Linked DNA regions of Cricetulus griseus. The protein of the gene in region 1 interacts with the protein of each later gene in a biochemical or structural test. Links are inferred from orthologs where the notes say so. Each region holds a gene or a part of one and is shown on either strand. Other genes may lie near its edges.

What was found.
Region 2: the proteins of Anxa7 (region 1) and Sri interact in a biophysical measurement, tested with the Homo sapiens proteins (2 studies listed by BioGRID and IntAct, with this or other methods). The link is inferred for Cricetulus griseus from reciprocal best matches to the Homo sapiens genes ANXA7 and SRI.

Annotation. Positions count from the first base shown.
Region 1 is NW_023276807.1:200,519,200-200,523,014, reverse strand, and holds part of Anxa7 (annexin A7), read right to left. Parts: intron 3,436-3,815; coding exon 3,333-3,435; intron 3,180-3,332; coding exon 3,085-3,179; intron 635-3,084; coding exon 521-634; intron 336-520; coding exon 165-335; intron 1-164. UniProt on the Homo sapiens protein: Calcium/phospholipid-binding protein which promotes membrane fusion and is involved in exocytosis.
Region 2 is NW_023276806.1:186,791,814-186,796,091, reverse strand, and holds the start of Sri (sorcin), read right to left. Parts: upstream 2,926-4,278; 5' UTR 2,904-2,925; coding exon 2,853-2,903; intron 1,887-2,852; coding exon 1,800-1,886; intron 69-1,799; coding exon 1-68. UniProt on the Homo sapiens protein: Calcium-binding protein that modulates excitation-contraction coupling in the heart. Contributes to calcium homeostasis in the heart sarcoplasmic reticulum. Modulates the activity of RYR2 calcium channels.

The DNA.
Region 1 (3,815 bases):
TTAATAAATACAAAGAAATCTGTTCACTGCATTCTGTGCTGTTCCTCTTACCAACGAACAGCAGTATTCAGGGAGCTGACTATTAGTGAAGTATGCGGACTGGCAAATGCTCAGGTACAAACGCATGTTCCCTCCACTAACATATACATTTATACTACACTCACCTGGCACATGGACACGAGGAGACGTTCAAAATGTCCTGAGGTATCTGACTTAATGTCCTTCTCAAGGTCTCGTCCAAACTCTGATTGATAACATCTAACAATGTCTCGAATTTCTTGATTTGTTCTTGTGCATAAAATCTCTATCAATACACGTTCTTGAGTTCCTGCTCCCTATATGAAATGAAGGGAGGGGGAATTACACAGAAGCAAAGGGAGGTCTCTGAAGATAATTAAGCTACATTTCAGATGACACAATATTTTGCCTCATCCATCATTGAAAATTCAAAACTATCAAAATTTGTGAGGCTTAATATATTAAGCAATACAGAATAATCATAGAAAATAAGATAGAGTACCTGCATTGCTTTCCTTAAACTCCAGGCATCATAGTATGTAGAAGGCATGAACAGGGCAAGGATCAATTCTTCCATATTTCCACTCAACTCTGACTTGAGATCTTTAATTAAATCCTGTTTAATAACATAAGAAAATTAAGTATTAAGTACATAAGATCTCTCTCTCCTCTCTCTCTCTCTCTCTCTCTCTCTCTCTCTCTCTCTCTCTCTCTCTCTCTCTCTCTCTCTCTCTCTCTCCTCTCTCTCTTTCATTTTAGAAACAGGGTTGCTCTGTGTAGCTCTGGTTATCCTGAAACAGCTTGCTCTGTAGATCTGCCTGCCTCTGCCTCCCAAGTGCTGGAACTAAAGGTGTGTACCACCACTGCCCAGCTAATACACAGGGTTTCTATATCTTATCTCACATGACATTTTTTCCTTAATTTTTATTTTATGTGTATAGGTGTCTTGCCTACATATATGTCTGAGCACCAATACATGCCTGCAGTGCCTGTGGAGGTCAGAAGTAGGCACTGGATCTGCCAGAACTGGAGTTACATAGGGTGGTGAGTCACTGTGTGGGTACAAGGCACAGAACCTAGGTCCTCCGGAAGAGCAGCCAATGCTCTTAACCATTGAGCCACCTGTTCAGCCTCACTTGGATCTTATGGAAAAATGAAATGGAACTGCCACTATGAAAGTCAAAATTTCAAAACTGAATGTGATATACTAAGCAATGAGTATTAAATTCAGTGATGAATTCATTGTGTCTAGAAACACATAAATCCTGAGAATGAGTAAATCTGTTAAATTTGGTGATAAAGTCATTGTGTCTATAAACACTTAAATCCTTGATACAGGTCTTCTATTATACGAGATACAAAGACAGAAAGTATGATTAGAAAAATAATATTCCAAAGCAACAAAATGAAGACTAATGAGATTCTGAGTAGGTAAAAGATATTTGCTAAGTATACAGTCAGAGTACAACCCTTGGAACCTATATGGTGGAAGGAGAGAACTGACTGCTCATCTCCATACATGTATGATGGCATGTGTACACACACGCACACATGTATACACTCACCTGCACAAAATAAATGAATATTTAAACAATGACAAGCAGATATTTACTTAGTGTAAGGAACTATTTTTGGTTCTATAAAGAAATAGAAATCACTATCATCTTGATCTCATTGGAAAGATAAACATCTAAAAAGATAATACAAAGCAAACTGTACTCTAGCACTATAGTGGTTTGAATGAGAATGGTTCCCATAGGTTCATATATTTGAATGCTTCATCCTCAGTTGGCGGAACTGTTTGGGAAGGATTAGTAAATGTGGCCTTATGGAAGGAGCTGTGTCACTGAGGGTAGGCTTTGAAGTTTCAAAACCAGGCTCAGTTTTGCTGTCTTTTTGCCTCCAACTTTCAGATAAGCTGTGAGATCTCAGCCACTGCTCCAGCACCAGGCCTGCCTGCCTGCTTGCTGCCATGTTCCCCACCAGGATGGACATGGACTCACCCTCTGAAACTGTAAGCCCCAATAATCTCTTCTATAAGATGCCTTGGTCATGGTGTCTCTTCACAGCAATAGAAAAGTAACTAAGACAAGCACCAAATAACCAACACAGAAACAAAGACCAGGTGACATTCTCAAAGAAAGCTTTTAGAATATAGGAAAATGAGCTGGATGGTGGTGATTCATACCTTTAATCCCAGCACCTAGAAGGCAGAGGTAAGAGGATCTCTTCGAATTTGAGGCCAGCCTGGTCTACAGAGTGAGTTCCAGGACAGCCAAGGCTACATAAAGAAACCCTGTCTCAAAAAAACAAGACAAAAAACAAAACAAAACAAAACAAAAAAAACAAACAAACAAAAAAACAGGCAGAGGGGAAGGAGAAAGTTATTAAGGTAAGAAAATGGACCACACACAAGAACAGAGCTAAGGTTCTCAGTAGTACAATTATCTATGTATTATTTTCTTTCTTTCTTTTTTTTTGAAACAGGGTCTCACTATGTAGGCCAGGCTGACCCTGAATTCCTGATTATCCCACTGTCTCAGCCACTTAAGTACTGGAATTATAAGTGTGCACTTATAATTCACACACTCCAAGCTTTACAAGAATTCTGAGTTTTGTGTTGCATAATTAACCTTAAGAAAAAAAAAACAGGACTCAGCAGGTGTCTAGTTTTTTTTTTTTTTTTTTTTTTTTGGTCAACTTGATGTTTGTCACTCAAAAAGAGGAAACAAGCACACAGAAGCATAAAAGACCAACTCCATTTAATTATACCATAGGGCACGTTCAGCAGAAATTAGAGGGTGGAAGGTGACCAATGGGGAAGAAGAAACAGGGACTAAGTAAGGAGCAGATCTTGTGGGGGCCATATCCATTGTTTCCTGAATGACTAGCACACACAAGACGCATATGAGGAGAGGTGAGGGACTGCTAACCCTGGAGTCTGTGAAGTCCATTTATCTGTCCTTTTCTCCACAGTATTAGTAAAAATATAGTGCCCATTCTGACATGGACACAGACCCTATAGAACAGACCCAGCCGCTTCTCACTAAAAGGGAAAAGACATACCTTGCCATACATGGTCTTAAAAGCTGTTTTAATTTGTTGCCTCTGGTCATTGGAACGGCTGGACACAACATCCACAATTGCTTGCTCATCTGTCCCTGGAAGATTCATAGACATATTTATATAAGGATGAGAATGCTTCTAAGGCAGTAGGTACCAGATAAAACTGAGGTGCAAGTTGACACAGGACTTCGTTTATCACACAGCCTCACTTTCTTTACAGTTAGGAAAAGACAATGCATTCTCCTTACCAAATCCCTTCATTGCTTTGCGGAGAATTTCTGCATCTCTCATAGCATCAAAGTTGGAGGCTGCTCGGATTGTCCCTTGGGTGCCCTGAGTCATCGCAGCAGGCTGATAACAAAAGAAGTATAAAGTTCTGCTTGGACAATAAGTCGAACTGAAGACTTCACCCAGACATATGTATGCAGGACTATGAGCATTTATTACCAGGCCTCATTTTGAAGTGACAGACATAGCCCCCTTCCAAACATTATTTGTCTCCTACTAACAGAGAGCCACACACAAAACTTCCATGAGACATGGGTAAATTGTGAAGCTAAAGTCATAACCTTCTTATGCCTTAGCTTCCTTTTTGACAGAAAGGGGGAGGTAAGAGATTGACTTCTCAGACAATCAGAGATGAATAATAATGTTTGATTTGAAGATAAGAAAAAATGGCATTATTGAAGTACACATGAGTGCCCAAGTGAATTTTCACACTAACAATGTAA
Region 2 (4,278 bases), on another chromosome or scaffold:
TTGTATCCCCCAGCAATGCCAGACTGTGTTAGACATCTCTGCAACTCATCAGCATCAATTTGTCCATCCTTATAAAACAAAGGAAGAGGAATCATGATGGTAGTTCATACTTTTAAGTTCTTAAGTGACAAGGACAAGAGAAAGGGATATCTAGCATTTTTAAAGGAATGCCTTTCAAAATTGGATACTCTTCTCCTTACCCTAATTCCAAAAGGAATTTGATGAGAGAATATTTGTTATGGCAAACAGTCTCCAATCAGTTTGAGCCAAGAAACTACCAAAAGTAATCATTTTAAGATACAATTAGCTTTGGAATTGTTTAAAAACATATCCCTCACCCCCATTTTGAGAGAGAAAGTAAAGTGTACAGCAGATCTTTCAGGCATCAGTAAATACAAGGCCTGGTCCAAGGAGCAAGAAGCTCTTGGATGAACTTAAGACTTAGGACACTGTTTTCTGAGCACAATTAAATGTAGAAGATACATGGTAGCTTCCTAGACCTTCTTATTGGCTGATTGAGGTCAAAACTAGGTCTGTTTCTCTCTCTCTCTCTCTCTCTCTCTCTCTCTCTCTCTCTCTCTCTCTCAGGGATTTTAAATAAAATACATAAATCCAAGATGGCGAGATCCACCGTTATAAATAAGGAACAATAATTTGAAATTATTAATGATGAATGTGTGGAATAGAGGCCAGGGCTGCTGAAAGCCAAGTAGGCGGGTCACTTACATGCCAGAGACACCAGCAATCTAAGAATGCTAGTCTTGAGGTGTGCTATGTCTTGCGGTTTCAAAGACACAGATCAATAACAGATTAAGTAGATACTTGAGAGGAAAGTCTCCCAGTCTTTGACTCAATTTTCCATTCAAATTCTCAACGCTGTTTCTTAGAGTACCACTTCCAAAGGTGACCCGAGGGTTTATCTACAGCATCTTTTTTTCTTTTCCTTTTAAATCTTGATTTCCTTCTTTCTGGCTCTTGTTGTTAAAACCAGTCTAAGGTGAATAAGCAGGGATAAATATCCCCTCTGGATATGTTGGGTTACTCAACAGTACATTTACCAAACACAGAATGACCTTGCAAGCTGGGCAAGTGTCCTTCCTCATAGCTGCCACAGACTGTCCTATAACTCTAAGGGAGGGAGGTGGGACTTAGGACTTGTCACTCTGTGACCTGAATTCTTTCTCAGGGTCAGCAGGCCATAATACCTAATAAGGACATACAAAAGCTAGCAGAGGAAGACCATCTACAGCAGGGGTAGAGGTCACCTTCCAAATACAGACAGTAATTCTAGTGCCTGGACGCCAGCGGCTCTTTAACTCCTAAGGGGGTAAATGACTAATTATCAAATCCAACTGAAAGTAGGTGTCCATCATAATTGGGCTACAGAATTACTAATCTAATACAGGCCTTTAGGTTGGACAAACAGAGGTTTTACGTTTAGAACTTGAACTTCTTCTCTGTAAGCAACCCTTGCTCTATCTTGATAATACAGTTCTAAAGGCATCTTTCTACTTCATAGACCTTCGAAGTATATTTACAATCCCCTTTTGGGTCAATCGAACCCCTAGTTCCAATCACAAATTTCGATTTGAACTGATCTAGCACGAATACAGGTATTCTCTGTCCAACTTTGTTCAGGATTGAAGTAAGAATGTTTTAGTTTTCTGTTCTTTTTTCCTTCTTTTGCCCAGGCAAAGGGATTCAGTTCCAGGATGAGGTAAGCGCTTTTAGATGCCATGCACTAAACGATGACACCAAGAGATAAAACGATTCTTCAGTATTGTACAGAAAGGGCTAACCTGTCCAGCCACAGCAGCGAAGTAACCATAGAGCGGATCCTGAGTTTGTCCGGGGAACGAAGGCCCTCCAGGAGCTCCTCCATACTGTTAGAAGGAAGTGGAGAAGCATCAGAACAGATTCCAGTTTGTTCTTTCACCCGCAAGGCTTTGGCGCACAGCACAGCAGAGGCAATTGCTGTCTGCCTGCCTGTATGGACTTCACAGCATCTCCCCCCCATGACCTCACACACAAGGGCAGCGACCCACCCTGCTCTTCCACTCCCGCTCCATCCACATTTAAAAGCTGGCGATTTGGTCCAAAATAAGTCTCCACGAAAGTGATGCCACAATATGCGAAGTCACTTAAAAATCTCTATTAAGTAGGGGGTTGCAGAGGTGAATGTAACCGAGGCAAACAATTTAGCAGCACGCAAGGCTCGGGACTATTTTCCTGTTGCTTTAAACAGCTTTTACGAAGTTTTAAAAGCACTTGCAGTACTAGGTAAGGTCGGAATTGGTACAGGGTTGACAGGTGTGCTCTGGGAGGAGGAAGGGAGATGGCCCCGCTGTATCTGAGACGAGGGTCCTTCAGTCTCTGACAGTACATCCCTAACACCTGGCGAGGTGCCCTTCCTCTAGGACCCCTGTTCATTTCTCAGGACTTTTTGGACTCCCTGTCACTTTCTTTTCAAGTGAGTGACAACAAGACCATTTTAGATCAATATGGCTGTTGTCGCTTTGGGGGCATAAGAGAGAGAGAGAGAGAGAGAGAGAGAGAGAGAGAGAGAGAGAGAGAGAGAGAGAGAGAGAGAGAGAGAGTGAACGCACAACTTGCTCGGTGAAGTCACCGAGTGGGCTTCCGGAGTCGCAGCTCACACACCCGTTGGCCGAGGAGAGTCCCTAGGAAGACAGAGGGCTGAAGAATGGATTGGGGCCGAGTCTGCACAGCAGGGACCGGGCGAGAGCGCGGAGCATCTGGATCTAGGATCCGCTCGCAGCGCCTCCTCCCGCGCGTCCCTGGTGCCCTCTCGCCCGGGGAGGAGCGAGGCTGCGGTACCCGAGCTCTGCACTTACCCCGCCTGGGTAGTACCCGCCGCCGGCGCCAGGGTGCCCGGGATACGCCATGGTGAAGACTACGCCTCTGCCCTGTACCTCTGCTACTCCGCCCTCCCTGCCGTCCGGAGCCGCCCTGGAGCGCACCACACCGCCCCACGGGGGGCGGCACCCGCCGCCGCCACCCACCCGGGACCGTCCTGCGCCACCCCGCGCGCTGCCGGCTCTCTGCGGCCTTCCGTGCTGTGCCAGCGCCCCGCGCGACCCTGTCGCGGCATGACCCAGGGCCCCAGACGGGGTTCACACCGGCACTCGTTCTCCCTCCCGGCCTAGTGGCACATTCCGACATCAACGCACCGCCCCCAGGATTTTTTTTTTTTTTTTTTCCTTTTCCTTCTTCCTACTGTGCTGTTTTGTGGTACATTTGTTATTTTACACGGTTGTTGGACAGGGCGGGTGGTGTAAGAGCGCTGTGCACTATTGTTAGGGAAAGGTTGAAGAGCACCTCCAATGGGTGAAGGAGACACTTTAAAGTCAAAATAGAAAAACACCTTTGAAAACAGGATGAAAACTTCAGTACTGTGCAAGGGGGCGTTTAGCTTAGAACCAGGGTGACGTGTTTCTTCGCCAACTGTTAAGCTGGGTGTAGCTGGTGTGATTGCTAAGTGGGTGGAGTGGGGTAGGCAAAGGGGACATTTTCTGGGCAGGACCGCCTCACCCAGATCATTCGCAGAAAATTGATGTATTTTTCTGGATGATTCAAATAGAAACACTGTTCAGGTGAACATTACTTACTGGAAAGGATGTGTAACTCACTTGGGTTGTTCAGGAAACGTTTCACAGTTTTCGTTTTCGCTTTTTGGTATAAATGAAACAAGAGAAAAATCGTAGGTTCGCCCTTGACAGTTAAGGATTAAACGCTGGGTTTCTGTTGGTCTTAATCTTTCCCTCTGTGGACCAGGCTCTCAGGCTAGCCCAGAACTTGTGGCCTCAGCCTCCCGCTGAGTCATCGTGCCTGCCTGTTCTTCTGATTTTACCGTTTTGAGAAACACTCTAATGGACAGGATTGACCATAGTGTGAATCCACGGTTTGAACCACCGGATGACTTCCCTCAAATCCCCTTTTTGGATAACATGAACTCCAAAAACAGAAGTTCTGAGTAGTGAGAAAAATTCTAATACTCCTTATTGTCACATAATAAAAACATGACGTGTGGCTTTCCTGTCTGATTCTGGAGATAAAATTAGTTTTCAAGTACTTTGGTAGTCAGTCCAGGTGGACTAGACGTCCTGTGTTTCAGAACTTTAATCAGCGAGATGATCAGGGCTGAACTAGCATTTAGTTTAAGCTCTTTCAGGACTCAACTTTGAAAAGCAAGCAAGCAAACAATGTGTCCCTAATAAAATGTTTCTAACTGATGCAGGATTAGTTTTATGGACAACTGAC